Pelodiscus sinensis: one gene and its partners. The protein of the gene in region 2 binds, or shares a complex with, the protein of the main gene of each other region. Links are inferred from orthologs where the notes say so. Each region holds a gene or a part of one and is shown on either strand. Other genes may lie near its edges. The genes, in order: SOS1, SFN, MLXIPL and PIN1.

What was found.
Region 1: the proteins of SFN (region 2) and SOS1 are in contact, whole or in part, in a crystal structure (PDB 6Y44), measured with the Homo sapiens proteins. The link is inferred for Pelodiscus sinensis from reciprocal best matches to the Homo sapiens genes SFN and SOS1. Residues at the interface, in NP_006133.1 of Homo sapiens: Glu14, Asn42, Ser45, Val46, Lys49, Arg56, Phe119, Lys122, Arg129, Tyr130, Pro167, Ile168, Gly171, Leu174, Asn175, Val178, Glu182, Leu218, Ile219, Leu222, Asp225, Asn226, Leu229, Trp230; in NP_005624.2 of Homo sapiens: Arg1158, Pro1159, Glu1160, Ser1161, Ala1162, Pro1163, Ala1164, Glu1165, Ser1166.
Region 3: the proteins of SFN (region 2) and MLXIPL are in contact, whole or in part, in a crystal structure (PDB 8BTQ), measured with the Homo sapiens proteins. The link is inferred for Pelodiscus sinensis from reciprocal best matches to the Homo sapiens genes SFN and MLXIPL. Residues at the interface, in NP_006133.1 of Homo sapiens: Gly53, Arg56, Ala57, Arg60, Gln67, Arg129, Val178, Tyr181, Glu182, Lys214, Thr217, Leu218, Gln221, Leu222, Arg224, Asp225, Asn226, Leu229, Trp230; in NP_116569.1 of Homo sapiens: Arg117, Ile120, Arg121, Asn124, Trp127, Arg128, Ala129, Trp130, Tyr131, Ile132, Tyr134.
Region 4: the proteins of SFN (region 2) and PIN1 are in contact, whole or in part, in a crystal structure (PDB 7AOG), measured with the Homo sapiens proteins. The link is inferred for Pelodiscus sinensis from reciprocal best matches to the Homo sapiens genes SFN and PIN1. Residues at the interface, in NP_006133.1 of Homo sapiens: Tyr19, Lys49, Asn50, Arg56, Arg60, Lys122, Asp126, Arg129, Tyr130, Pro167, Gly171, Leu174, Asn175, Val178, Glu182, Ile219, Leu222, Asn226, Leu229, Trp230; in NP_006212.1 of Homo sapiens: Arg68, Arg69, Pro70, Ser71, Ser72, Trp73, Arg74, Glu76.

What each region holds. Positions count from the first base shown.
Region 1 is NC_134713.1:196,920,096-196,927,337, reverse strand, and holds the start of SOS1 (son of sevenless homolog 1), read right to left. Parts: upstream 3,001-7,242; 5' UTR 2,608-3,000; coding exon 2,521-2,607; intron 1-2,520.
Region 2 is NC_134735.1:2,336,084-2,342,923, forward strand, and holds SFN (14-3-3 protein sigma), read left to right. Parts: upstream 1-4,898; 5' UTR 4,899-5,003; coding exon 5,004-5,756; 3' UTR 5,757-6,328; downstream 6,329-6,840. UniProt on the Homo sapiens protein: Adapter protein implicated in the regulation of a large spectrum of both general and specialized signaling pathways. Binds to a large number of partners, usually by recognition of a phosphoserine or phosphothreonine motif.
Region 3 is NC_134731.1:16,406,510-16,414,280, forward strand, and holds the start of MLXIPL (carbohydrate-responsive element-binding protein), read right to left. Parts: upstream 3,010-7,771; 5' UTR 2,922-3,009; coding exon 2,494-2,921; intron 1-2,493. UniProt on the Homo sapiens protein: Binds DNA as a heterodimer with MLX/TCFL4 and activates transcription. Binds to the canonical E box sequence 5'-CACGTG-3'. Plays a role in transcriptional activation of glycolytic target genes. Involved in glucose-responsive gene regulation.
Region 4 is NC_134729.1:14,659,190-14,667,081, reverse strand, and holds the start of PIN1 (peptidyl-prolyl cis-trans isomerase NIMA-interacting 1), read right to left. Parts: upstream 3,013-7,892; 5' UTR 2,912-3,012; coding exon 2,854-2,911; intron 1-2,853. Other genes in the region: UBL5 (ubiquitin-like protein 5), read right to left, coding at 7,108-7,151. UniProt on the Homo sapiens protein: Peptidyl-prolyl cis/trans isomerase (PPIase) that binds to and isomerizes specific phosphorylated Ser/Thr-Pro (pSer/Thr-Pro) motifs.

The DNA of each region.
Region 1 (7,242 bases), on a different chromosome or scaffold from region 2:
AGCATCCTTAGCAAAAGGCATTCTTACAAAATTATACTAAAACTAAAGTCAGGTCATTAAGCCACAACTCTAATTAAGCAAAATATTTTCACTATAAAAGTCTACCCCCTCAAGTTCTTGTAGAGTTTAAAAGTAAAATTCTAAGTTCTGCCTTAAGAATTTATTATATTTTTCCTTTAATAAAAAGAGTTGAATGTTATTTTTAAAGGCTAAGACACATAGGCTAACCATCACAGCTGAGAAATTTCATATGCACAAACATGCAGGGGGATAAACAAATATTTCAGTGTAAAAGGCTGTGCAAGTTCCTTTAAAGCGATATTTGTTTAAAAACAGAAATTACAAGAGATTGACAACAAGCAACTTTGAGATGAAAAATCATTCCACAACTAACAAACTTGGAAAAGAAAGGAAGTCCCACAAAAAGTTACAATTAAACAATAACAATAGATTTCTGAGCCAAGCTGGAACACAAGAGGAAGGATGTCCAAGGATAAGGCTTCACTGGCCTGATCTCTTTGGTATGGTAAGACTAAGTGAGCCTGACAAAATATAGTTACTCTAAAAACAACGATCCACAAAAGGACAACACAAGAGAACCTAACCAAATGTACTGTTATCTGCAAACATACCAACTTAAGAAAAATCTATCAGAATCTCCCCCTGTGTTTCAGTATGCTTAATAGCATAGTGTTGCACAGTGAGATCTCTCATTACGAAGGTCATAAAATTTACTGCAGTACATTCAGTACAATATGAACTATGACAAACAAAACAACAGATATGAAATAGTTAATTTTTAAAATGTATTTGCAATATTTGATATCATGTGATGTATCAGCCAGTCATTAATGCAGATAAATGAGGCTGTAATGATGAAAAAAAAAAAATAGCCACCCTTGGGCTATAAACTAGGCCGTCACACCACAAATTCGACATCAGAGAAGCACCAAGACACAAACCAGAAGTAAGGCTTTCTCTACACTTAACAGTTTAAAGTGCTGCAGTTTAAAGTGCAGCCGCAGCAGCACTTTAAACTGAAAGTGTGGCCACCGCAAGAGTGCTGAGAGCTTTCCCAGCGCCTTATGTAAACCACCTCTGCGAGGGGAGGAGCTAACAGCGCTGGGAGTGTGGCTGAGCCAGAAAGTTACAATGCTGTGAAGTGTTAGTGTGGACTTGGCCTTAGTAAAATAGGATAGGATCATGTTTCCTACACTCTTGCTCCCTACACTTTTGCTCCAAATCTACTGACAAAGCTTAGAGAATCCTTTACATAGACTTCTTTCAGATAGCAACTAGACCACTGGTTCTCATCCAGGGGTACATATACCTGGGGATATGCATGGGTCTTCCAGGGGTACATAAACTTATCTGTATAGTTGCCTATTTTTATAAGAGGCTAAAGAAAAAGCATTAGCGAAATCAATACAAAGTAGGAATGTGAAAAGTTAACTGGTTAAGGGCTGGAACAGCTCGCCAGGCCTGCCACGGACAGGGGCTGCTCCAAAAGATTGCAACAGCCCCTGTCTGCAGCAGGCCTGAGGGACATGGGGGAGGAGGGTGCACATGCAGGGTCTGCTCCAGCCTGGCTCCGCCAGGGAGCAGGGGGCCCTTAACCAGTTAAAAAGTGAAGCAAACTTCACATTTAACCGGTTAACCAATTACATGGGATTCTACATCCCTAGTACAAAATGAAACCTTCACATAGCCAGTGACTTGTGTATGCTGCTGCATAGACTATACCCTGAAACGTAAGTACGATATTTCCAATCAAATGGATCAATTAGATAACTAAACGATAAAAATGAACCAAGTGCTCCTGTTGCCGTAACACCGCCCCGTGGCGCTCGGCGGCGTCTCGGGCCGTGGCGCTCGGTCACGTCTCGGGCCCGCGCCGTGGCGCTCGGCGAGGTCTCGGGCCGTGGCGCTCGGCGAGGTCTCGGGCCCGCGCCGCTCGGCGAGGTCTCGGGCCGTGGCGCTCGGCGAGGTCTCGGGCCGTGGCGCTCGGTCACGTCTCAGGCCCGCGCTGTGGCGCTCAGCGAGGTCTCGGGCCGTGGCGCTCGGTCACGTCTCGGGCCGTGGTGCTCGGTCACGTCTCGGGCCGGGGCGCTCGGTCACGTCTCGGGCCCGCGCTGTGGTGCTCGGTCACGTCTCGGGCCGGGGCGCTCGGTCACGTCTCGGGCCCGCGCTGTGGTGCTCGGTCACGTCTCGGGCCGGGGCGCTCGGTCACGTCTCGGGCCCGCGCCGTGGCGCTCGGCGAGGTCTGCGGCTGCTTTCCGTACGCCCGTAGGCGCGAAGGGAGGCCCAGCGGGCGGGGAGGCCGGGGGCGACCCAGCCGACTCCTGGAAAGGGCCGGGGGTGGCTCCTGGACCATCCCCACAAGGCCGCCCCTCCCCCTCAGTGGCGGGAGCAGCGTCCAGGCCACTGGAGACCCCCCCCCCATCCTTCCCCTCCACTGGGCCGCCCCTCCCCCGCCCGGCCCCACGCCCCGCCCCCCGGGGGCTCGCCCCGCCCCCTCACCTTTTTGAGGGCCGGCACCAGCAGCCCCCGCCACTTGGGCGCGTTCTCCTCGCTGAAGAACTCGTAGAGCAGCGGCGGCGCCTGCATCCTGCCGCCGGCGGGCGCGGGGCGCGGCGGGGGGGTCAGCGGGGGGCGCGGCGCGGGCAGCCGGAGGGCAGCAGCCGCCAGGGCTCAGCGCAGGGGGGCGGCGGCCGCATCCCGCCCCCGCCCCGGTCTCGCCTCAGCGCCCGCCCCGCGCAGGGCTCCGAGGCCGGCGGAGCGCTCGGCGGGGAGGCGCGCGGCCGCCCTGCCCCGCCAGCCGCGCGGGCATGCCCGGCCCAACGGACGGCCCCGGCCCGCGCGCGCCGCAGGGCGGAAGGACACGCGCCGCCTCACGGAGGAGGAGGGGTCTGCGCGCCGGGAGCGCGAGCGCGGCTGGAATTCTCGGGGCTTTTTTTTTTTTTTTTTTCCCCTCTCTCCTCGCCCGGACGGTTACTCCCGAGGGCGCCTGCGCGGGGAGGGACGGCGCAGGCGCGCCAGGCCTGCTCCTGCGCCCCGCCCACTCGCTCCCAGCCTCAGCGCGGAAGCGCGGCTCAGGCCGAGCGGCCAGGAATCGCAGCCGAGCGCCGAGCTGGGCCGGCGCGGGGAAGCGGTTCCGCAGGCAGCGCCCCCTGCAGGTCGGGAGGGGCTACAGCGGCTCCTTCTTTGGCCCCGGCCCTGGACCACCTGGCTGATGCCCTCTCACCTGCCCCCCTCCCCCCCCGGCTGCCAGGGCTTTACCTACCCCCCCCCCACCCCAAAAGCCCAGGCAGCTTCCACTGTTGGCTCCCAGTGAAGGGGCAAAACGTGTCCTATGGGGCCAGGCAGACAACAGCTTCACCCCCCCCCCCACCTTTTGCAACAGCCGTGCAATGAAACCCTCACGTTCCCACACCACAGCCCTGCTGTGACCATCTCCACAACAAAAATGTCACCTGTTGTCAAATGGCCTTGAAGTGTTACCCTCTTTCACCAGCTCTGAGACAGACAGACCATCACTAACCGTCAAATTATCACCCCCTAGCACAGATGTCCAACCCTGTCACGCTTCCACTCGGTTTTGCAACCTCCATCAAAATATCCCAAATTGGCACCAACGGCCTCCACTTGTCCTCATTGTACGCCAAATGTAACCAGTTCTCTCCAGCTGTCAGACTCATGAACAGACACAACATGGCCATAATTTTTGATCACATGGAAGCAGCTGGTGAAAAGTTCCTGATCAGTCACAACCTGCAACCACAAGTGATCAGCTATCAACATGTGTCATCACCTGTCTTCAGATGACAAAAACTGTTAACCCGCACCAACTGCCAGGACTGTCATCAACTGAGAAACTGCTCCAGGGGCCAAGCAATTTTACTTTGAGGGTAGCCGAGTTAGTCTGTTAGGCTACGTCTACACTGCAGGCTTCTTGTGCAAGAACTGTTTTGCGCAAGAGTTCTTGTGTAAAAGGTCTTCCGCAAGGGCGCATTAACACTGCCATGTGCTTTTGGGCAAGCAATGTGCTTTTGCGCAAGAGCGCCCATAGCACTGTGGACACTCTCTTGTGCAAGAAAGCTCTGATGGCCATTTTAGCCATAGGGCTTTCTTGTGTGAGAAAATCATGTTGCCCGTCTATACTGCCTTCTTGTGGAAGAGCTCTTGCACAAGAGGGCTTATTCCTCGTGGGGAGAGGAATAACTCTCCCGGGAAAAGCCCTGTTTTCTGACGCTGTACTTAAATTTACTTACGTAAGAATGTGTGTGCAGTGTAGACACCTGGCAAGTTTTTGCACAAGAACAACTGTTCGGCTACGTCTAGACTGGCATGATTTTCTGCAAATGCTTTTAATGGAAAAGTTTTTCCGTGAGATTAGCAAGGACGCTTTTCCGCAAAAGCACTTTTTGCGGAAAAGCGTCCGTGCCAATCTAGATGCGGTTTTGCACAAGAAAGCCCCAATCGCCATTTTCGCGATCGGGACTTTTTTGTGCAAAACAATACTGTGTTGTCTACACTGGTCCTCTTGCGCAAAAGCATTTGCGCAAGAGGGCTTTTGCCCGAGCGGGAGCAGTATTTCCGCAAGAACACTGACAATCTTACATGAGATCGTCAGTGTTCTTGCGGAAATTCAAGCAGCCAGTGTAGACAGCTGGCAAGTTTTTCCGCAAAAGCAGCTGCGTATGGTATGGTACCTTTTCCGCAAAAGGTATGTCTACACTTGCACCCTCTTTCAAGAGAGGGATGCAAATGAAGACATTCAAAATTGCAAATGAAGCTGGGATTTAAATATCCTTCTCTTGAAATAACTGGTAAACCTCATTGTATGAGCAAAAAAGGTTATTTCGAGAGAAGAGTTTTCTCTTGAAATAACCGTGTCTTAATAGCGTCTGTTATTTAGAAATAGCGCCATAATGCCATTATGCAAATGAAGTGCAGGATATTTAAATCCCAGCTTCATTTGCAATTTCAAATGTCTTCATTTGCATCCCTCTCTCAAAAGAGGGTGCAAGTGTAGACATACCCTTACAGAAAAAAAACAACAAATGGTCTGGTAGCACTTTATAAAGTAATAAAACATATAGATGGTATCATGAGCTTTTGTGGGCACAGCCCACTTCTTCAGATGATTGGAGACCTATTCTTGCTTACAGACAGCCCCCTAATGTGAAACAAATTCTTTCTGGTAACCATGCCACACAACCACATCATAAGCCTCCAGGAACCCAGCCCTGCAGCCAACTCTGCCCATGTTTCTGTACTGGTGAATTCATCACTAGAGCAAACAAGATAAGCCACCAAATTGAATGGTTAGTTGACTGCACATCCAGTAATTTGATCTATGCCAGCAGTGCCCCACTGCTACATATATTAGACAAACTGGACAGTCTCTGCGGGAAAGAATCAATGGACACAAATCAGAGATACGTAAAGGGAATGTACAGAAACCTATTGGGGAACATTTCAACCTTCCAAATCACAGACAGGTCTCCAAAGTAGCTGTCTTGTCACAAACCAGCTCTACAAACCAGATCCACAGGGAAACACTGGAATTACAGTTCATCTGCAAATTCAATTCACATGCTAATGGACTCAATTGTGATGAAAGCTGGTTGGGACACTCCCAATTTAACAACCACTGAAGGTGCTAACAGCTCTTTGTGTTTTCTCCTTCCTGACAGGGGGCTCTATTGACTTTGATTTTTATCTGCTTCCGTTTAAGTACCCATTCTCCAGATACTTACTAATACTCTGTCTCCCACCCACCCCCCTGCTTTTTTCTTCCCTCCCCTTCCCCTCCTATTTATTTTGAGTGTATACATCCCAAACTCATAACTCCAGTCATCTGAAGAAGTGGGCTGTGCCCATGAAAGCTCATGGTACCATCTACATGTTGTTAGTCTATAAAGTGCATTTCACAAATATTTGGCATTTTCTCCAGCTCCTGGAGGCAAGTGATTAAGAATCTCAGCTTTCATTTTTTAAATGAAGTGTCTAACCCACATGATTTTTTTAAAAGTTTCTCTCAGCAAAAAAAAGAACCATGTTGTGTAACCCCCAATAGCTGAGAAACCAGAAGACAAAATGACTTGACTTTTTTTCCTCCAGTATTGCTGACACCAGCAGTCACCTCTACAGGTCCCCAGCGATTGAGAGGGGCACTTGTTTCCAAGAGAGACCAAGTGGCACAAACTGCAATCAAGACCCACCAACTGTCAGCCTGTCCAGATGCTTTCCTCGCGTGAAGGTGGCCTTTGTATTACATTGTGTTCCCTTGCTCTTACAGAAGTTTACTTATCTTCGAATGGGGATAGAATTTTGCTTTAGTGGGAGAGTAAAGTCCAGACATAATTGAAGTTGCCCAAATGCTCTCTTCTTTGGAAACAGCAGCGTTTATAGTGATCCCTCATAGAATGGAGAATTCCTGCTCTTTCTTGGGGAATGTCTCACAGGCAGAAGTCAGAATCAGGAAAATGCTCAATCTGGAGCTGGCCTCAAAGGGTTCCAGTTCCCTACTCTGTGCACCTATCCTCACCAGAGCTAAGTGAAGCCTCTCCGAAGTTCAGGCTTACCATCCCTCTCTCCCTGAAGCTGTATTTAATGCGCCTATTCCTGTACAGTCTAAAGCAGTGTTTCTTAAACTTAAGACCAAGAAACACCAAACCATTTTTTTTTATGAGGAACACCAAGGATTTTTTGTTGAGGGAAAAAAGGGGGGTCAGGGAAAAGTTGACCAAAAAAAAAGAGAGGGGTTGGGGGAAAGTTGAGGAAAAAAGGTCACCTGCCCCTTTAAGCATGGCCATTTTGAACTCTATTGCTCTCCGCGGCACATCTCCAACTATCTCATGGCACACCAGTGCTGCAGAACACAGTTTAAGAAACACTGGTCTAAAGGCTATGAACTGCTCTTTATTAGAATTATCCAGAGGGGAATGACTTCCACCAGATGCAAGGAAAGCTCAGTCCTCCTCAATTATTATGAACAGGGCTCGACAAACTGTGGTGAGAGCTACTCGCCAGCCCCGCACCGTGCATGCGCGCAGTGCCGGAGAATGGGGCGCATAGAGTGACCAGCTGAAATCTACTTACCACGGGCAAGTAGAAACAGCAGTTTGTTGAGCTCTGGTTATTAATAAATCCTATTTGCATATATTTAATTGTAAGAGCTGCAGAATCATCCCCGATCATGAGAGTCGCAATGGTCATTTTGATTTTCTCCCCCCC
Region 2 (6,840 bases):
AGCCATAAATACGCCCGTTCCGAGCACAATAACTGGAGTTTCTGCCATCTCCGGCTGCTGGAAAGAGACTCGTGCAACTGAGCAAAGGCCGTTGCGGGCTCCTTGGGACTAGCCTTACTCGGCAGTGGGACAGTGGCCCCCCTCAAGAGACTGACGTAATTGAGTGAGATGAGCGGGGAGGTGAGACTTCCCCAGGCTCAGTATGGTGTGTTCACGGCTGGAATCAGAGGATTGCGAAGCAGCATTTCTACCAGAACCGGCCAGTACGCCGCCCCTCCCCCTCAGCCGTGAGCTGCTTGCGCCATGCGTGTGCAGGCAGAGGGGGCACCTGTCAGCGACCTAGGTAGTGTGTGAAGATGTTCTGCAGTTGAGTCTTAGCCCCTTCCTGGGTGTCCTAAGTGCAGTAGCCGTGTCAGTAGCAGCTTTTGCAGTCCCCGCATAGACTCTGCTGCCTCCCAAGGACTGAGCAGAAGAACTAGGCACAGGCTGGGCGGGTGTGAAATCCATTTACGCCTTGTACTTTTGTAACAAAATAAAGTTTCTCCTATTTACTGTACATGGGCATCTGGCTCTTGTTTCCCCAGCGCCCAAGGAGGGACGTCTCCCGGCTGCCCTGCATGTGCGCGCTCTCTGGAGAGGGTGGAGCGAATGAAGGTGGAGCGCTAGATGTGGCGTGTGTCTGTCTGACCTTCTGTGTTAACCATACGGGGCGGAAAGCCAGGAACGTCCTCACCCTAAAGCCAGCTTGGCACTGCTGGGGGCCCCGGAAGGTGGGGGTGAAACATGGCTTGGTCCCAAGAACGGGAGGCATCAAAGGTCTGCTGAACTGTCGCCATGTTTCCTGATTGGAGCCTGCCCAGATGCAAACCTCGTCCGTGCAGACCTGTTGGCTTTTTCTGCCCAACTGAGGCGGGGGCTCTGGCTCTTGCAGGGAAGGATGGGCTGGTTCAAACGAGCTCGGGGGTGGGGGGGCTGTGTCCTGCATACGCTTGCAGGCTAGTCCAGGGCTCTTGGAAATGGCCTTCTCCACAGCACTAGTCCCGTGTGGGAGCTGCTGCAGGGAGCACACGAGGGGAGGAGGAGACAGCCCTGCGGGTGGTGATCTGTGCCCCTCCCACGGGACTAGCTAAACTATCGAACCTCCCTTGTTCAGAGCTAGTTTAATAGATTCACGTCTTTCAGTCGGACTGAGTGCGCAGCTCCAGGGGCCGCCTTTCTCTCAGGTGCCCCGCAGGAAGGCAGCCGGCCACCGCAGCATGAGGATGCAAGGGGCAGTCCGGGGCGAGCTGGCCCCGGAGGAGCGCAGCAGGGCTGAGCACCACGCTGGACGTTGCGCTTCAAACGTTTACAGCCGGCAGGCCCCGGGAGGGGAACTGCAGGCTGCCGAGCCTAGTGCTGAACTTGTACTTCAGACGGCACCATGTCCCCAGGGTCCTTTCCCACGTGAGTCAGGCCGAAGAGACGGCCGGCTTCGTGCTCCCACAGTTTGGCAAACAGGCTTGGGGTTCGCACTAAGCGCAGTCCCTGGACAGGCTGCCGGCCCTAGTGTGTAATGCTGGGACACGTGTGTGCTCTGGCCCAGCCCAGGTCATGTAGTTCGCTTGGCCGTAGCTGCCGCTGCCTTTGGAGAAGGTTCACGTGGTGCTGCCCTCCACAGGGGCCTGTGCACTTCCACTGCAGCCCCCAGCCCCTCGTGGCTTGGCCACAGCTGTGCGGCGTACGCCCCAGGCAGATCAGGGCTTTTTAATCTGGGTCACCAACTGAGAGCAAGCAGAGATTCAGAGCGTGGCCAGGCTCTAGCTTTCCCTGCTGCAGACCTGCGCTGCCTTCCGCTCCCGGGGACAGACGTGGGATATGGTCGGGATAAACAGATCTCCCACTGAGAAGTGTGGCCTCAGAGCTGGGCCCTCCCAGGCAGACAGAGATGGGGGAGGGTTCCCATGTGAGACCCACAGCTGGGGCGAGCTTCCTTGGGGAAACTTCAGTGTAATCCTGGTGTGCGTGGGCCCTGTGCTATGGCCCTTGTGCGATCACAGCTGGGCGGGGGAGGTGAGACCGGCGCTTGCCCCCTTGCCTGGGAGAGTGGAGATCAGTGGCTGCATGGATCAGACATTGTTTCCCAGGCTGGGAACAGTTATTCCCCCCCAGAAGGGGCAGGAATGGGTATTTCCACAGAGGGAGGGGGCATGACATGAAGGAGCACTTAGCTGGAGCGCTAGCTCAGGCCCAGGGCCTGTAAGATGGCTGACTGCTTTCCTAGCGCTCCCAGGACTTGGCCAGGAACAGCTTCCCTGTGCCCTGCTATGGCATCCCCATCATTCCCTGCAGCCTCTAGGACTCCCGGCCCAGCCTCACACGAGTACCTAGATCCGACCAGTATTAGCCTGGCAGAGTCCTAGACTGGGCTGGGGCGGGGGGGGGCCTGCAGACCCTCAGAACGGTCGGTTGCGGGCGGCACACAAGTGAGAAGCAAAAAACAAAACCCCCAACCCCCACTGCCGTGAGCTCTGCCTGAGGAGGAGCAAGCCTCACCCCACATCCCCCTCTACACCAGAGCCTGGGGGCCCAGGCTACAAGAGTTTGCATGTTCCAGCCCCACGGGGAAGGTGGGGGGCTGGAGTGCCAGCGTGGGCTCCCCAATGCTGGGGGGGGTCTTGAGCCTCAGGGGCCTCATCCAGCCCCCAGGCCATAGTTTCCCCACCCCTCCCTAGACTATAAATACTTGCCCTGGGCTAGAAACTAGTGTGTGTGTGTGTGGGGGGGGGGGTGTCAGGGGAAAGGCTGGGGCCTGAGCACTAGGCTGGGACATGGGAAACTGGCAAGTCCTTGCTCTGACAGCGGTTTCCTGGGTGACCTTGAGCAAGTCACTTGCAGTGGGATTTTCAGAAGCCCTTTTGAAAAGGGCACTCGTCTCTGTGCCTTCACGCCCCCCCCCCCCCCCCCCGTATATACACTGGTGACAACGGCGCTTTCCCCTGGCCCGTTGGAGGTGTGAAGACCGCTATGTGGAAGAGCGGGTGGGAGAGGCTCAGATATTCTGGTTACAGGGCCCAGAGAGGTACCGTGCTCAGTCCACCCTGCCGTAGGTGTTCAGTTTCAAGCCTCAGTAGTGGGCTTTTCTCAACCCTTAAAAACCAGTTCTCCAGCCTCAGGCTGCGAGCAGGAGCCACCCCAGGCCACGCTGGTCCCACCAACTGGTGTCTGCCTTCACCGGACTGAAATCAGCCAGGACAGGGCCTTTCTGCAGCCAAGAGCTCAGCATCAGCTGGGGGGGGGGGGGCACTCAGATGTGGCTTTGCACAGATGAGTAGTTGTGAGTCAGGCAGCTGGAGCAATTTACCTGCAAAGGGGAACAGCTGAGTTACCGACCCCACCCTCTCCTCCCCAGGGCTGCATCCACCCAGCAGATAAGGCCAGTGATTAAGGCAGGTTTCAGTGCAGTGAATTTGTCAGGACGCCGCCTGGCAGCATCAGCCTGTGGAGCAGTCAGCCCCTGGCAAGTAGGAACAGGCTCGATCGGTTGGAGAGACAAACTTCAGGAGAGCAGGAGAGCCCGATTCTAATGGCAGCAGCTGATCCCAGAGCAGCCGAGCCCTGGCAAAAAGGGGTTTCCAAGTGTCTTCAGTCACTGGGGCAAGGCGCAGGCCCAGCAATCCAAGGGTGGGTACAATGCAGGGCCGCTTCTATTGGCTGAGGTGAGGCCTGTGTCTTAGAACGTCCTTTCCACCAGCCTCTGCCTACTTTCTGGCCTAAGCTCTGTCCCCTGCCCCTCACTCTGAGCCAGGCTGGTAGGAAGTAGCCTGAGAGGCTCTTATTTTAAAGCAGAAGGTCTGCAGGGGGACGTGGTGCTGTGTCTCAGCGGAGGCGTTTCACGGCAAGTTGCCCGAGTGCCCCTTCCTAAAATGGGAGGGGGGGTACTTGAAATATCCCGTCCCGTCCCTTCCCCACGGTCAGTCGACTCTTGGCCTTGCTTCCAGAGAGCATTGTGGTCTCCCTGACTCTCCGTCCCTCAAAGGGAAGGGGCGGTCATGGGGCCCTGTTCCCCGCCAGTGCCGGCCCGGCGTTCCCAACCTGCTCCTTTGCTCCGTAGGCAGCTTTGGGCTGCACAGGCACAAGCACAAGGTGACTTCTTTCTGACATCTGGTCCATAAGCGCATCCTTTGGGAAACTGAGGCCAGCTCCGCAACACAGTCCGAGTTCAAAGGGAGTGAAATGACTTCAGTGCGAGGTGTGATTTGAGCCCCGGATTAGGATTAACCTGCTGTTGGGGGAAGAGCCCAAGGGACCTGCCAGTGTTTTCAGAGCTTCTTCTGCCCTATAATGTTGGAGCTGCTCAGCCACCCATCTGTTTAGGAGCTTGGTCACGGCCTCTTGCCACGTCTGCCGCTGTGGTGCCCAGCCAGACTCCACTGAGGACGCTAATGGGATGAGGAGCTGCCTGGGGAATCTCCCTGCGTTTGTGTCAATCACACTTAAAATGATAACGTGCCTTTGGAGGGCGTTTGGGGCTGTTGGAAGCTGCAGGATTGGCCATCTCAGTGCTGGAGGGTCTCGAGCGAGCCCAAGCGCAGGTCAGCCGCAGGGCAAGATTCCCCCCGGAGGGTCCTTCTCTGGGCAGGAGAGATGAGCTGGCCCTCCCTGGCCTCGCCAGTGGTTGGCTGCCCAAAAGGGGGCTAGGGCTGCCCGTGAGGAGAGACAGCCAAGCACGCTGTTTGGAAGGAGGCCTTGCGTGAAGATGGATTTCTCTGACATTGGCAGGTGCAGAATCCGTTGCGCTCCAAGGTGAATCACTGCCGCTTGCCTTTTAAGGAGAGTGCTGTCTGGCAGGAAGTGGGGGAGGGGTTCACTGAGTGCTTTTCCGCCACGCCCAGCCCTTGCTCCAGGCTGAGACGCCAAGCCAAAAGCCGATCCCATCAGCAGAGCGGAGCAGAGACTCGGAGGGCTCCTGAGGTGACTGCCTGCTCCCTTTCGAACCGGCCGCTTTGCCACCCGTGCTCCCAGCCATGGCCAGAAACCAGCAGGTGCAGAAAGCCAAGCTGGCCGAGCAGGCGGAGCGCTATGAGAACATGGCAGATTTCATGAAGGCCGTGGTGGAGCACGGGGACGAGCTCTCCAACGAGGAGCGCAACCTCCTCTCGGTGGCCTACAAGAACGTGGTGGGGTGCCAGCGCTCTGCCTGGCGGGTCATCTCCAGCATCGAGCACAAGACTGAGGAGGGCGACGAGAAAACGCCGCTGGTGAGCGAGTACCGCGAGAAGGTGGAGGGGGAGCTGAAGGACGTCTGCAACGTCGTCCTGGGGCTGCTGGACAAGCATCTCATTAAGAAAGCCAGTGACCCAGAGAGCAAGGTCTTCTACCTGAAGATGAAGGGAGACTACTACCGCTACCTGGCCGAGGTAGCCACCGGGGATGACCGCAAGGAGACCATAGAAAACGCCCAGAAAGCTTACCAGGAAGCAATGGACATCAGCAAGAAGGAGATGCAGCCCACCAACCCCATCCGCCTTGGGCTCGCCCTTAACTTCTCCGTCTTCCACTACGAGATCGCCAACGCCCCGGAGCAGGCCATCACGCTGGCTAAAACCACGTTCGACGAAGCCATGGGCGACCTGCACACGCTCAGTGAAGACTCGTACAAGGACAGCACCCTCATCATGCAGCTGCTCAGGGACAACCTTACGCTATGGACGGCGGAGTGCGCGGGAGAAGACGGCGGAGAAGCCGGCGGAGAAGCCGGGGAAGAGCCTAAGAACTGAACTGCAGCCCCCTGAGCGACGGTCGCTTTTCCCACCCCTCCCCCTTTTGTGTAAGACGCCGCTCGGCTCCCGACAGCTCTGCCTGGAGTCCGACAGCAAAGGGGACTGGCTGGTCTGTGCATGTTATTCCCACTTTTTACTCCGTCTTCTCTCGTGGCAGCTTTGGGACAAATCCCCCTTCTCTGGCCCTCCCCCCCCCAACATTTCTTGTGATCTTCTTGCAGTGGGAGAGCACCTGTCACGTTCCACCAACCCGGGTGTAACAGCGGGTCTCCTTGAGCTCCAGCCCTGGGGCCTGATGGGGCTGCCAGCCATTAACATTTAAAAGGGGAAGCGGAGGTTGGTTTTCGGGGCGAAGGTACCAAAGTGGAGCGGTGGCGGCTCACTCGCGCGCTCCCCTTTGCTGCCTGTGGCGCCGTGCTCCGCAGGGTTCTGCTGGGTGTGGCCGGCCGGCCGAGGGAATCTTCGGAGCGGGTGACGAATGACAAACTTGAGGTGCCTCGTGTATTTGTGCCTTGCCGAAGCCGCTGCCTGCCTGTCCCTCTCCAATAAAACTGCACTTCCACCCCTGCCTTTGTCGTCCTCGGCGTCGCTTCTTTCCCGCACCCTGTACGCGGCTCGGTCAGCACTGCCTGCCCCGCTGCACAGGGGCCAGGGAGTCCTGAGCACGCCCCCGGCTCGGCAGGGAGCGAGCGCAGCCTGGGCCCAGGCAGGATGCCTGCTGGCCAGTGCGTGAGGGCTGGCCCCCAGCAGAGGCGCTAGGCTGAAGTCGAGTGTTGGGAGCAGGCTGTGCCCCAGAGAGCCCAGCGGGCCATGAGCCCAACTTGCATTTGAGAAGTGATGGGGATAGGTGGGGGTGGAGGAGCAGCAGCTTTCGCAGAGGAGAGGGACTTTGCGGGGCTCGGGCCGAGGGAGTAGGAGCCCCGGGAACAGCGTCTGTTACCCTTTCTCAGGCTGTCTCCAGCGCCGAGTGTCTGACTCCCCTCCCTGCCCAGCGCTGCTGCTGCTCAGACTGGTTTGAAACCCCAGCCACTGTCCCGTGGCTTCCTGCAGCTAGAACCCACCTGGCCCCAACAGCCACGGC
Region 3 (7,771 bases), on a different chromosome or scaffold from region 2:
AGGGAAATAGAAGCATGGAGGCATACACAAAGCCTCTGGGTTGGGCGGTACGGGTGACATCAGGATGGGGAAAGGAAATGGGGGAGGCACACAGAAATCCTGGCATAGGGTGAGGGGAAGAAATGAGGCAATATACAGAACCCCAACATGGAGGGAGAATGGGGGACAATGGTATGTGGAGGGAACCCCCACATTTTACAGCTGGTTAAAAATGCCAGAGGTTTCTTAGGGGACATTGTGAAAATAAATGATGAGTTTCTTTTTAGTTGGTCATCGAAGATTTTTTTTGTTTGGGATTTTTTTAATTAAAAATGAAAAAGAAAAATGTTGGTTTTCATTCTTTAAAAATATTCAATAAGTGAACCCGAACATTAAAAATTTAACCACAACTTTTCCTGAAAATGTCTTTGTTTCTGGCTTCTCATCCCAAACCAGGATAGCACCTGCCGGACTGCAGTCTGTCAGTGCAAAGCCTCATCTGGGCCAACAGAACAGCCCTCTTTTAAAGCTTGTTTTGATGAAAAGTGCCCAGCGTGACCCAGCACCGTGCTATTTACTGAGTCCTTTCCTGGAAGTCATCAAGCTGAACTCTGGCAGCCTCATTAGCAGAAGATGCTCCACACGTATCTAGGTGAGCAGTGTGCCTGGTAATGAAATACATGGGCGAGAGAGAAACTCTCCGTGGAAAGGGCTAGGCACAAAGGCTTGCTCGGCTCCTATGCCAGTGCAAAGGAAGCATAAAATGCTACCAGATCTGACTGGGAGCCCTTTGCAGTCGGGATGTGATAGTGTAGTCAATGAACCGATTAACCAATAAGCAAAAGTGCATAGGTTAATGCTATAGAGTACGTGCATTTCCCCGCCTCCCCCACCAGTGCATTTTTAGCAGGCTGGCCAGCAGCCCGGCTCATTTCTGGCTTGTGATGGGTCCTGGACCTGCCCCTGCTGCGGCTCTGCATTTAAAGTGTAGTAGGAGCTGGGCGGGCAGGCAGCCTGGCTCAGGTCTGGGAGCTCAGATGCTCCACCCAGACAGGGGCTGCTGCCACCCAAGCTGCTGACTCTTTATCAGAGGCAGCAGCACAGGGCAACAGGCAGGCGGTCTGCAAGGGGAGCTGGTTTTTTAACTGGCTCCCCTCACAGACCAGCACCTGCCTGGCACCCAGAGGCAAAGGCAGCAGCGCAGGGTGGCAGAGGGCTCCTCAAGAGTGAGGCCGGAGCACACTGGCTGCCGGCCCTGCCCCCAGGGACTATAGAATAGTCGACTAACCAATAAGAATTCATGAGGTTACTCGACTATTCAATTAACCGATATTTAACATCCCTAGAGTGTAGACTGTGCTGGGGCGTCACCGTGCACCCCGGGAAACGTCTAGACTGCAAGCTTCTTCTGAAAGAGCATCCACACCTCAAAACCGGATTGAAAACTGATCTGCTTTTTCGAAAGAGAGCATCCAGACTGCATGGAAAGAAATCCCTGATTGCTGTGCACAGAATGGCGCAGCAGAATGGCCACCAGGGCACCTGGGCTTTTTTCGATTCCCTCTTCTTTCAAAAAATGCCCCTGTTCTGCGTCCACACATGCCTTTTTTCAAAAGAGCTCTTTCGAAAATGGCGTTCTTCCTCGTAATCTGAGGTTTACCAATGTCGAAAACCCTGTATTCTTTCCATTTCATTTCAAAGAACGGCATTGCAGTGTGGACGCAGGTGACGTTTTTTCGAAAAAACAATGTAGTCTAGACATACCCCCAGTGTTGTTCGGCACCTGGAGGGGGGCCAGGCCAGTGGGGCCTTGTCTCCCCATAAAGAGCTGGAGAGTCCAGCTGGAGGGAGCAGCCCCAGAAGAGGGGAGGCAGATTGTTCTGTCTAGGTCCTCTGGGAAGCAGCCTGAAACAGGGCTGAGAAGGGAGGGCAGGCTGGCAGAGCAGACCATGTGTTCTAACAGCAAAGGGCTGAGGGAAGGGCACTGCCTCTGGGCAACAGGAGCAATGTCTCAGCGGGTTTCTGCAAGTGCAACAGCCCGTGTGCTGCTCTGGCCCCTGTGAAGGGACTTGGGGCTGTTGGGTAAATAGAAAGCACCAAGTGCGTATCGCTCGTTTCTCTTTTAATATGAAACTGACCCACTGCAAAGCCCCAAAATCTGCTACTCATACTGGGGGCTATGAGCCCATATTAGTACCAAGCTAGTCTGTGATCATGTCGCTAATATCCACCCCCCACTGCCAGGGACACAAAGGGGGGGCAGAGATAACATGCTGATGTTCAGTTGTAGGGCTCTTCTGAAAGAAAAACCAAATGGCTGCTGGAGCGATTTTCAAAAGGGAAAAGAGCCTGGGGGATGAGCCATGGCCAAAGCACCTGTTCTAACTGTATATTTTGATCTGAATTCAAAATGTGATCAATGTCCTTGACCCCTGTCTATATGCCAGAGGCCTGCCACACAGAGCTGGGGAGGGGGAATCCAGGGGTCCCAGTCAAAAGGATCCTCAGACTTACCTGTAGGCCAGGCTCATGCACTCGAAGAGTCGGGTGAGAGTTGGGTCGATGGTCCGGGGATCTGCTGGCTCCGGCTCAGAATGGTGGGGGCGTCGGCGGGGCACCAAGTCGCTGTGCGGCGAGGACACCATAAAGTGGCCGCTGTGGATGACCTGGGAGTGGGGCAGGGAGCCTGACCCTGGCCCAACACTGCCTGAGCCCAGACCCTCTGAGTCTGAATCAGAGTCTAACTCTGGGACTGTCCTGACCTGTGGGTCCAGAAAGGCTCCATGCAGCCCCACCTGCATTCCAGCGATGGTGCCCGGTGCAAGCAGCCACCCACCAGTGTGACCCTCTTTGTCTGTCTGGGGTCTGGGTACCTGGGAGGCCCACATCATGGCAGTATCTGAGCCCCACACATGTCCATTAGCATAAGGCGTGTGCACCATGCCCCCAGATCTGCATGTTGCTTCCCCACCCTCTCCCTGACTTGTTCTTTGTCCTGTGTCCTGCTTAGCTTGCCATTCCCCTGCTTCTTGGCAGTCCTATTTATAGGGCCCCCAGGTATAATCCCACCCCGCCCTCTTTACTCCAGCCATGCCTGTGGGCGGGGACAGGGGTGGGCGCTGGAGTCGAGCAGGGAATTAACCCCTTGTCTGCTGGATCCAGGGAAAAGGGGGAGCTCTGGGTCACACTAGAGTCTATTTCCATGACAAGCTGCCTACATTAAAGGAGAAGCCGCTCCAGCTTCCATCTGTTCCCAGCCCCCGCAGCTAGGAGGCCAGAGACAGGTCTGCTACTACAGCTCAGTTAGCTTTGTTTACCTTGGCTCAGCGCTGCTCTGCCTGCGAGCGGGAGAAAAATACACGGTATTTACCTAGCACGTCTGTACTAATGTTTCCCCTGCATTTCCCAGGGAACAAATACAGATTAAGGGACAAAAACAGGCAATTATAGCGACCAGGGTCCAGCTCAGCACAAAGCAGGGAGCGACTCGCGGAGTCATGCCCAGGGCCCTGGAAACAGGCAGCGTGAGAACCTGCTTTCAACTGGCTCCTCCAGGGTCTTCCGCTGAGCCAGAGAGAGGCAAAGATACAGACAAGTTCTCCCGGGGGCCTCTGAGGAGGCAAGGCCCCCAAGAACAACTGGCAGACTTACTCCGTCCTGGGCCTGAAAACTTACAACTGACGTGCTAAGGGGAGATTTTCAAAGATGGCTCACACCTGCCTCTGACTTCTGGGGGAGCCAAGCAGCCAGCCCCATGGGGGCCATTGAGAATCTCCTCACCCTTTGACCCAGGATGCATCTGCAGTGAAGGCTCTGCCCAAGTCTCCATGCTCTGTGCTGTCTGTGGGTGATGGTCTGCACAGGGGACAGGCTGAAGGGGGGTGCGGTGCTGTAGCCAGGTCACGACTGAATGAGAACATTGAGAAGAATGTTCCTAGCATCACGGAGTATGGCCAAAATGGCGTATTTGAGTGTTGGTGTCAGAATATAAGTATAATGATGGTAATAAGTGCTATACAATTATATGAAATGATATGCCAAGAAGGCTAAAGGCATATTAGGGTGCATTAGGAGGAGCAGTGCCAGCAGATCCAGAGAAGTGATTATTCCCCTTTTTTCGGCTCTGGTGAGGCCACATCTGGAGTACAGGCAGTCCCCGGGTTACTGATAGGGACTGTAGGTTTGTTCTTAAGTTGAATTTGTATGTAAGTCGGAACTGGTACATATTGTAGGGGAAACTCTAGCCAAACATTTCTCCAGAGCTCAGTTTTATTCTCCCACACCTCGCTTCCCTCAGTCCTTTATTCTCAAGCTGAGGTGTCTGCTGAGAAAAGCCGCTCCTCGTCTCCCTGGTCTGCTGGGGGGCGGGGGTAGCTTCGCGTCTCCCTGGTCTGCTGGGGGGAAGCAGCTAGTGCGGGGTTGCCTCACCCCATTTGTAAGTAGGGATCCGATGTAAGTCGGATCCATGTAACCCGGGGACTGCCTATATTGTGTCCAGTTCCGAGCCATCTACTATAGAAAGGATGTGGACGCATTGGAGAGGGTCTTGAGAGGGCAACCAAAATGATTAGGGGGCTGGAACACATGACCTATGAGGAGAGGCTGAGGGACTTGGGGCTGTTTAATCTGCAGAAGAGAAGAGTGAGGGGGGATTTGATAGCAGCCTTCAACTTCCTGAAGGAAGGTTCCAAAGACAATGGACAATAGTGACAGATGGCAGAACAAGGAGCAATGGTCCCAAGTTACAGTGGGGGAGGTCTAGGTTGGATATTAGGAAAAACTATTTCACTAGGAGGGTGGGGAAGCACTGGGATGGGTTACTTAGGCAGATGATGGGATCTCCATCCCTAGAGGTTTTTAAGTCTCGGCTTGACAAAGCCCTGGCCGGGTTTAGTTGGGATTTGGTCCTGCTTTGGGCAGTGGGCTGGACTTGATGACCTCCTCAGGTCTCTTCCAGCTCTATGATTCTAAATTCTGTATGCTTCAGTTTGAGCCTGCCAGCCATCCTTCATGATTAGACAATGTTGGCTGTAAAGTCTTGTTTCTTGTTAGCATTACACATTAAGTTGTGCCTCTTGTCTACATTGTAAATTAAATTAACTTAAACAACAAATGGTCCTGCAGCACTTATGTCCCAGCAGGACTTTTTGAAATTTCTTTGGTAACTATATGATCCTTTCTAAAATGTAATCCTGTCTAAAATGCTCAGTGAAGATTCTTTAACAGGAAACAATTGCTGTAAATCATTTGTTGTGAGTGGTGGATATGTACATAGTTAAGGATAAGTGTGAAAGCCATCACGAATGCCCAAATGGTGAAGAAGTGAGAACTTTAAAGACAACCAGGAGGCTAGAATTAAATTAGCAGAATTGATACACTTTGGAGACAGGACAAAAGAGATAACAATGGGAAGCCTGACAATAGTCATCAAAGGATAACTGTGGAAAACCGAAGCAAAATGCAGGACAATGTAGCACTTTAAAGACTAACAAGATGGTTTATTAGATGATGAGCTTTCGTGGGCCAGACCCACTTCCTCAGATCAAATAGTGGAAGAAAATAGTCACAACCATATATACCAAAGGATACAATTTAAAAAAAGTGAACACATATGAAAAGGACAAATCACATTTCAGAACAGGAGGGGGATGCGGGGGGGGGGGGGCGGGGGGGAAGGAAGGAAGGTAAGTGTCTGTGAATTGATGATATTAGAGGTGGGGAGAGTGGGATGTCTGTGAGCTAATGGTATTAGAGGTGATAATTGGGGAAGCTATCTTGGTAATGGGTAAGATAGTTTGAGTGTTTGTTCATTCCTTCCCGGAGAGTGTCGAATTTTAACATGAATGACAGTTCAGAGGATTCCCTTTCAAGTGCAGATGTTGTCACATTACCGAATTGGAGGGAAGCAGCCAGATCGCTGCTGCACCCCTAGGTGGGGGTGTTGGCCACAGAAATTGGTATAAAAGGGAGCCATGTGGGGTATTGAATGGGAGCCCCGGATTCGAGCAATTCGCCCTGAGCGGACGCCCTCAGCTGTGCCCAGACACGGCCCGGTCCGTCACAGTGGCGTAGTCGGCAGGATCCACAGATCTTGGTCAATTGAGCTTTGGGATCAGGACCCCACGCTGTCTAAATTTGATTTTTAGTACTGAGAGTTTGGTTGGGTAAAGGGCAGCCGAAATGAGTCAGTGCCAGTATGAGAGCCTAAATAGAGAGGCTCTGAAGGATTTGTGCTCGGGGAGAGGCATTGCCTTTAGGAAAAGGGCCTCTAAACTAGATCTGGTAGTGCTGTTATTAACCAGAGATGTGGATGAAAAGGAGCAGAAGCAAGCCAAGGAGGCTGCTGAAAGAAGGCGGAAGGCAGATGAAGAAATTGCTAAGAGAAAGCAGGAGATGGATCGGGAACTTGAGATGAGAAAAGCAGAACATGCAGAGAGAATGGCAGAGCATGCAACTGTGACGGACCGGGCCGTGTCTGGGCACAGCTGAGGGCGTCCGCTCAGGGCGAATTGCTCAAATCCGGGGCTCCTTACAGCTCCCCGACTGGTGACCTCTCCAAACAGGCCACAAACCAGTCCCACAGAGCGCTTCAGCTGCCTGCCTGAAGCCTCCCGAGCAAAACCCCTCCGACGCCCCAGCAATAACCGTGCCCCAGATGGCCCCGGGCCTCATACACAGGTGGGGGGGTCCTAGCACCCAATCCCACCTACCCCGAACAAGTTCTGTCCGGTTCCAAGAAACCAGCCACAGATCCCTGGTCAATTTACCCTCTGGACCTTACCCACAAATCACACTGGGCCAATCCTTTAGAATCTATATCTAAAGGTTTATTATTACAAGAAAGAAAAGCCTGAGAGTAAGGTTATTAAAGTACAGTACGTTACATGCACCGAATCTCCCAGTCCTCGATGCAGGCTCTAGCAGAGGTGTTGCAGCTGCTGGTTTAAAAGTTCTTATTGCACATCCTACGATCAGGATGGGTCCACAGGTCTTCCGGGCTCTTCAATCCCTGCATTGCTGCCTCTGGGATGAAGTGCTGAGCTGAGAACAACATGGCATCGACCGCATGGCCTCTTTATACCTCCTTCCTGGCCTCTTCTTGTATGCAGCAAGTCACCTGGTCAGAGGCCAATCTCTATGTTCCCTGCTGGCTGCCCTCAGATGACAAACCCCATTCTTTGGGTGTGTCCATAGCCCATTGAGAGCCATTGTCCCACAGGGCCTGGCTACTCAGCCTGTCCATAGCAATGCTTACCCACATTCAGAGAAATATTCAGCTTCCACACAGATTACAGATTCCTACCTACACACACAGACATTATATATTCACATAAATAGCGTACATAAGATCAACAAACAATAAGCTCCCATTCAATACCCCACATGGCTCCCTTTTATACCAATTTCTGGGGCCAACACCCCCAACTAGGGGCGCAGCAGCGATCTGGCTGCTTCCCTCCAATTCGGTAATGTGACAGATGTAAAAGGTCTTTGTAGCAGAATGCAGGTGGTTAAGTCATTGAGAGAGTGTCCTTTCTGGTTAAAATGGAAAGAAACTGTTTTCTCTTTGTGATCTTGTCTGATATCTGTTTTGTGGGCATTAATCCTTTGGCGAAGTGCCTGAGATGTTTGTCCAACGTACATAGCATACGGACACTTTCGGCACATGATAGCATTAATTATATTACTGGATGCGCAGGAATATGTGTTCTTGATCTTATAACTCACTTGGTTAGGTCCAATAATGGTATCAGCAGAAGGAATATGTGGACAAAGCTGGCAACGGGGTTTG
Region 4 (7,892 bases), on a different chromosome or scaffold from region 2:
AAAACTTCCTTGACAGGGTGGTTTACATTACACAGAGACACTGTGAAATTTACCTCATTGGAAGTTCTAAAGAGCAGGTAATACAAACACCAGTCAGGGATGGTCAAGATCATACTTAGTCCTGCCAGGAGTCCAGGGGGCCAGACTAAATGAATTCTAAATGCCCCTTCCAGTCGTACAATTGTATGATCTTGTAATTAGAAAGTTGAGCAAGACGGCATGTCTTACTATAGTGTGGTGGGCACTGCACAAACAATGGAGCATTGATCCTGGATGTGTCTGTGGTTGCTGTTGCTAACAAAAAAACATACCTCGACCAAAAGCAGCCACTCTTTAAAATAAGCAGCAAAATTCCCCTGAAGCGTGCAATCACGAGGACGGGGGCCACACCACTGTGAAGCCAAGCCAACTAATACTGTAACCTAGAGATGCTTTCTGCTCCTTCCCTCCAAGCTGGCAGCAGCTCATTCCTGCACTTGCAGGAATTCTCACCAGACAGACAGAGTGACTCCCTCCCTCTCTCTAACCCCTTTTATCCCAAAGGATTTCAACCAGCAAACCAGCAAAATGCTCTGAAGAGAAGTGTTGACTCTCAGACATAGAGGATGGCAGAGAAGGCAACAGCCCAAGGACACAAGGATCAAACGTCCAATTATAACTACCTTGGAACAGTCAGTGTCCTGGCAAAACTACAAGGAATGAAGTGAAGACAGGTGCAATGATTTGCCTCTAACCCTGAACGTGTAGGGTACCAAGGCATTGAGCCAGACTTGACCTTACCCCATATCAGAACAGCCCCCCCCATCTGCACTGGGACCTGCATCCACTTCCTCTCCCCACACAGACACCTCCCGTGGGCTTCATTCCAGATTTACCCATCCACCATAAGGTGAACAAACATGGACCCTAGCCAGGAGGTCCTATATAACAGGGAAAGCTTATCCCCAAGCAAAGGACATGGTGAGAACCCCAGGCTGCCTCACTAAATTCCCTCCCACCCCATCATGAATAAAGCCACTTTCACTCTGCCTCTATTCAGGGAACCCTCCCCAATCCCCTTCTCAAGGGAACATCTGAGTCCCCAGAGCAACTCCATGGAACAGAACAACCTGCCCCAGACCAACCCATGGGGACCAAGTAAATACAGCCCAGTAGACACCCAGCTGGGGAAGTGGATCTCCAAGGCACACCCCTCCAAGCTATATTCACTGCAGGCCCAAACTCTCTGCCCTCCAGTGCCTGCAGCACCAGCTGCCCACAAGCCTGCCCCCCCACCCCAGACCCAGTGCCTTCAAGACCCCAGACCTCACCCCACCCCCATAGACATGACACCCAACCCCAAAGCCTTCAACTCCCAGCCCCACCCCTCAACCCGAGCCTTCAAACCGCCCCCCCCCCCCCCCGAGCCCTGCCCCGGAGTCCAGAGCCTTTAACCCCCCCAGCCCCGCCCCGAATCCCAGAGTCTTCAATCCCACAGGTTCCAGCGCCAACCCCAGAGCCCTGCCCCCAACCGCAGAGCCTTTAACCCCCCGGCCTCACCCCAAGCCCTAAAGCCTTCAACCTCCCAGGCACCGCCCCCAAATCCTTCAACCCCCAACCCCAGAGCCTTTAATTCCCCAGGCCCCGCCCCGAACCCCAGAGCCTTCAACCCCGCAGACCCCACCCCAACTCCCACCCCAGAGTCCTGCCCCCAACCCCAGAGCCTTCAACCCCCCCCCCGGGTCCACCCCCACAGCCTTCCCCAACCCCAGAGCCTTCAGCCCCCCAGCCCCGCCCCCAGATCCTTCAGGCCCCCCTCAGCCCCGCCCCCAGAGCCCTACCCCCATCCCCAGAGCCTTCAACCCCCCCCCTGGCCCCGCCCCCATAGCCCTGCCCCCAACCCCAGAGCCTTCAGCCCCCCCGGCCCCGCCCCCAGTGCCCTGCCCCCACCCCCAGAGCCTTCAGCCCCCCGGCCCCGCCCCCAGAGCCCTGCCCCCACCCCCAGAGCCTTCAGCGCCCCCAGCCCCGCCCCCAGTGCCCTGCCCCCACCCCCAGAGCCTTCAGCCCCCCGACCTCGCCCCCAGAGCCCTGCCCCCACCCCCAGAGCCTTCAACCCCCCCGCCCCCACCCCCAGTGCCCTGCCCCCATCCCCAGAGCCTTCAGCCCCCTCCGGCCCCGCCCCCAGAGCCCTGCCCCCACCCCCAGAGCCTTCAGCCCCCCCACCCCCACCCCCAGAGCCCTGCCCCCAACCCCAGAGCCTTCAGCCCCCCCGCCCCCGCCGCCCTGCCCCCGCCCCCAGAGCCTTCAGCCCCCCCAGCCCCACCCCCCGCCCCCGCCCCCGCCCCAACCCCAGAGCCTTCAGCCCCCCCGCCCCCGCCCCCAGTGCCCTGCCCCCGCCCCCAGAGCCTTCAGCCCCCCCAGCCCCGCCCCCACCCCCAGAGCCCTCAGCCCCCCCCAGCCCCGCCCCCAGAGCCCTGAGCCCCCCCCAGCCCCGCCCCCAGAGCCCTGCCCCCTCCCTCAGACCCTTCACCCCCCCCCGGCCCCGCCCCCAACCCCAGAGCCTTCAGCCCCCCCGGCCCCGCCCCCAGAGCCCTGCCCCCTCCCTCAGACCCTTCACCCCCCCCCGGCCCCGCCCCCAACCCCAGAGCCTTCAGCCCCCCCCGGCCCCGCCCCCAGAGCCCTGCCCCCCCCTCAGACCCTTCACCCCCCCGGCCCCGCCCCCAGAGCCCTGCCCCCCCTCAGACCCTTCAGCCCCCCGGCCCCGCCCCCAGAGCCCTGCCCCCCCTCAGACCCTTCACCCCCCCCGGCCGCGGCCCCCCCCACTCCCATAGCTGACCTGGCCTGCCCCCGCCCGCCCCTCACGCCCCCCCGTACCGGAGCTGCGGCTCATGCGCTTCTCCCAGCCCGAGGGCAGCTTCTCCTCCTCCGCCATCTTCCCTGCGCCGCGAGCCCGCCCGGCCGCGCCCCGCCTGCCTGGCGCCAGGGCGCCCCATTGGCGCGGGGAAGGCCGAGACCCCGCCCCCGCCGGCTGCCATTGGCTGAGAGAGAGAGAGGCGGTCCCGGCCCCGCCCTGGCCCCGGTCTCATTGGCGCAGAAGATCCGTGATTGGCTACGGGCGAAAGGCCGCAATGATCCCGGAAGTGAATCTGGAGGGAGGGGACGGAAGCCGAGGCGGGACAAGGGAGACCTGAGACCAGCATGTCCCGGCCCGCTGCCGTGGGGCCTCCCTGGCCGCGTGTCCGCCACACCCAGGAATGGGGGGGGGTTCTGGACATGCCCCCCCCCCCCGTCCCTGGCACGGGGCTCCTGGAGCAGCCCCCGGGCCCTGTGCAAGGGACTCGCTAGCCGCCGAACCACAGCAGGGAGGGGAAGCTGGCTGGCGAAGTGGGGCTGGGCATGAGAGTCGGCTGGGGGGTGCAGCCCTGCGGTGGGGCCCCAGAGATTGGGGGCGTAGGCCCCATGTGACAATTGTCTCAAGCAGCAGCCCTCACCCCGACCCAGCTCCTACATGGAGGTGCTGGCAGGCGGTTCTGCACTTTTCCTGCTCAGCAGGCATGGCCTCCACAGCTTCCGGTGGTCATATTCCCAGCAAACAGGAGCTGTAGGGGCAGTACTTGGGCCAGAGCGGCACATGGAGCCATCTAAGTAAAAGCCGAAGGGGGGATATGCTGCTGCTTGTGGGAGCCACAGCACACTTGCAGCAGGGCAAGCCCCTGACCCCTCTCTCTCTGCCGGAGCTCAAGGGCCAGCTGATGCCTACCCTTGCATCATCAGCTGCTGCTGCTCATTGTACAGAGCGTATTGCCCTTGTAAAATGTGTAGGGCTTTCCCCAACTTCCGTTGATGCTCACAAAATCCCTCTGTAATACCAATCCTAAGTATTCATGTGTCAAGCACCTGCAAAAGGAGATTTAATTTTTTTGAAGTTTTATGTTTTGCTGTTTTAGTCTTGCACTCTGCAAGCAGGAGGGCTAGACATATTTTTCCTTACTGACAATTGAGGGTCACAATCACAGAGCTCCAGCAGCTGGGGCTTTAAAGAAAATATTGTGAAATTAGTAATGAATCACAAGAGTTAGCAGCCCAGCACTTCTACATAGATTAATATCCAAGCTCCCTGAATTGTACAGCCTTCTTGGGGCAGTTTACAAATTATGGCACAACAATAATTCTTAAATCCTGGGTTCTATTAAGACTCTTCCACTGGCCATCTCTCTCTTCTGTGGTAACTGGTTCACAGGGATATTAGGAAAATTAATCTCTATCAAGACATTAGTTAAATCATTTTGGTCTCAAAACTTCATTGTAAATGGAGATCTTGCTGGTGCCCAGTTTGCAGTCAACCTCCTGAAACTCAGCAACATTCCGTCTATTTCACTAGGAACACTAACTACAAGTTCTTATAAGCAGCTTCCGCTAACGTATCATTTTAAAAACTGGTTAAACTGTTCTTATCATACCACCATCTACATGTTTTGTTAGTCTCTAAACTGCTGCAAAACTATTTGTTGTTTAAGTTTTTCCAGTTACAAACTAAATTGGCACCTAGCTATATCTTTCCCTGAAAAAATGTCTCTACAGGTTGTTAGCAGCACGAAAGGAGTCAGAGAAAGTGTAGGAATCCTTGATGAATGAGGAAGACAACTTAGTGATAGATGATGTAGAAAAAGCTGAAGTACTCAATGCTTTATTTTCCTTGGTCCTCACAGACAAGGTCAGCTCACAGACTGCTGCACTGAGCAGTACAGTAATGGGGAGGAAGGGGCAGCCTTCAGTAGTAAAAGAACAAGATAAGGACCATTTAAAACAAATCATATGCTCAGTCTATGGGGCAGTATCTAATGCATCTGAGGGAGTGGCCATTATCCCTGAAAACTTACGGCTACTGGGGGAAGTCCCAGATGACCAAAAAAGGCAAATGCAGTGCCCATCTTTTAAAGAGGCGGAGGAGAATCCAAGGAACTACAGACTGGTAAGCCTCAATTCAGTCCCTGGGAAAATCATGGTGCAGGTGCTCAAGGAATCCATTTTGAAAAACTTGGGAGAGGAAGGTGATCTGTAACAGTCAATCTGAATTCCTGTCAGACCAAGCCTGACTAATTGCCTTCTATGATGAGATAACTGGTTCTGCAGATATGAGGAAAGTGGTGGACTGATATACTTTGACATTAGCAATGCTTTTGATATGGCCTCATCTTGCCAGAAGGTTAAAAAAATACAGCTCGGATGAATGGACTATATTGTGGATAGAAATATGGCTAGATTGTTAGGCTCAACATCTAATTGGCAGCCAGTATCAAGCAGAGTGCCCCAAGGGATAGTCCTAAGGCCATTAATGATCTGGACGAGGGGATGGATTGCACCCTCAGCAAGTTCACGGATAACACTAAGATGGTGGGGAGAGGTAGATATGCTAGAAGGCAGGGAGACAGTCCAGAGTCGCCCAGACAAATTGGAGGATTGGGCCAAAAGAAATCTGATAAGAGTCAACAAGGACAAGTGTAGAGTCCCACACTCAAGATAGAAATTCCAATGCAATGATACCAGCTGGGGACAGATGGGCTAAGCAGCAATACTGCAGAAAAGGACCTGGGGACTGCAGTGGACAAGAAGCTTAGATGCATCAACAGCGCACTCTTGTTGCCAAGAAGGCAAATGGCATATTGGGTTCATTAGTAGGAACATTGCCAGCAGATCTAGGGAAGTGATCATTCCCCTTTATTCCGCATTGGTGAGGCCACATCAGAAGTTTTGCATCCAGGTGACTTTTTGCTCTCCCTATTATATGTGCAATTTCATATCACATTTAACTCTCAAATAATAGCTTGTTGTACAAACTAGAGATGAGATCTTGCAGTTTGATGTTAGAAGTGGTATCACATATTACTACTAGCAGGTAAATGTTTTCCCCAAAATACACTAGGAAGCATATTTCCAAATGTTAAACATAATTTCTAGTCCTAGTAAATGTCTTACGTTGAGGATAAAAAGCATCATGGGATACAGGTTACACATTTGGTGATTAGCTTGGCTTCTGTTTTTTGTTTTGTAAACTGCTGGGTGATCTGATTGCTCTTGTTTCATTTTGTCAGGGCTTCTAGAACAGAGAAGCAGGAAGGAACTTTATTGATGCACAAATAAAAAAGGCTCAAAGAGATGAATAACTAAAAGTTAGTAGAAAAGGCAAGATGTCACTACAGGCAAAATAGAAGAAAGTGAAGCACCAGGTGTCTGAGAAAGGATGTCACAAAAATGCAAGTCCATCCAGCAGATGGAGCAGCTACAAACAATGAGACAGGAATTCAAGAGATTAGTTCAGGTTGTGCAGGAAAACGTATCAGGTTCCTTATCCCAGTACAGGTTACAGGGTGGGTTTAGTGCAAAAGGAGCCTGGAAAAGGGTGACAAGGGAATAAATATAACAGCTTTGAGAGAAGTTGTATCAGACAGACTTTCCATGGAAACCGGAGACTGCATGGGTTAAGAATGAAGGTATTCGGAAGGCTATTACTGCTATTCCTATTACTTGTTGAAGCATTTTTTTTAATCAATTGCTCTTCTTTCACTCTTAGAAACAAGTGTGTGATGGGAGAGTTGGTCGTATTTTCCTGCCCAGATCATAGCTTAACCACAGTACTATGCAAAATTTCTTTTAAAAATTAAAAAAAAAATCTAACTTGAATATGACAGATACAAACCCGAAGCAAATGTGCTGCTTACTCTAACTAGAAGAGAGTCCCTCTGAGCAGATGGATGGAGAGTGCTACAGTATTATTCTGATTCCAGAAAGTTAAATGGGGTCTAAAGCCCACTGCTTTCCAACAGCTGCATTAATTTGGGCTGCTATGTCAGTTAAAGAAGAGATTTCTTCTGACAAATCCAGGAGCAGGATACAAAAGTTATCAGGAAACTTTTATTGCAAACATTTTTTAAAAATAAAACAGCCTTCTTACAAGTTTGCAGCCACTTTTATAGCCATCAAAACTGAAGATATCTGATAAAACTGAATGCACAACTTGAGCTTCTAATTTTTACCTTACATGAAATAAAGTTTATAGACAAGTTTTATAGCAGAAAAAAAATGTAGAAAAGTGATGCCTGCCATTTGTAACTGCAGCTAGACTCAAGACTACTGATAATATAACTCCAGGTTCATGCCATCATGGATTTCATCTGAAAGGAATGAGTTAAGGGGAATTCCACAGGAAATGCTCAAACGGTAGGTGACATTAGGTTTCTCCCTGGTCAATAATTCAAAATAAATTACAACAGCAAGTTTATTCTTTGATACATTAGACAAATTCTCACATAATTCTCCTTCCCACTTTGTGTGTTTCTATCGCAAATTGATAAAATAAATTGCTAGTGTCATGCAAGGGAACATGGGTCATATGCAATACTGGAAGCTTCAATACCATAACTCAGCAAATGAGTCCCATGTCACAGGCTACCCACTCAATTTAGTAAGGGACTTTTTCCCAGAGGTCCACCAGTTATCTTATGGTAGCCTACCAATACCATCAGTCACTAGTACCCAAAGAGACAAATGAGACCTTTGGTTTATAACAAGCAACTACGTCAGATTAGGAAGTGTCTCTGTTTAGCTATGTATTTATAATATGTCCATCGCTCCACTTCATAGGTTGTGGATCTTTTAAGTGACTAGAAGAACTACCCTGAATTGCTCAGGTCCTTTATTAATTTTTGGTATCTTTGGAAAACCAAGTTCTTCTGCCTCCTGTGCTTCCCAGGCAGCAAGAGAAAGTGCACAATGCTCCCTTACGAATTGGGGAAGATCTTCAGCCCCCCTCCCCTTACCAAAGGGTGCCTGGAAGATGGGAGGCTCAAGACTAGTAAAGTCCTTGACACAGGGTAGGGAGGGGCTGGGCCTGTGTACGCATGTACCTCCAGCCA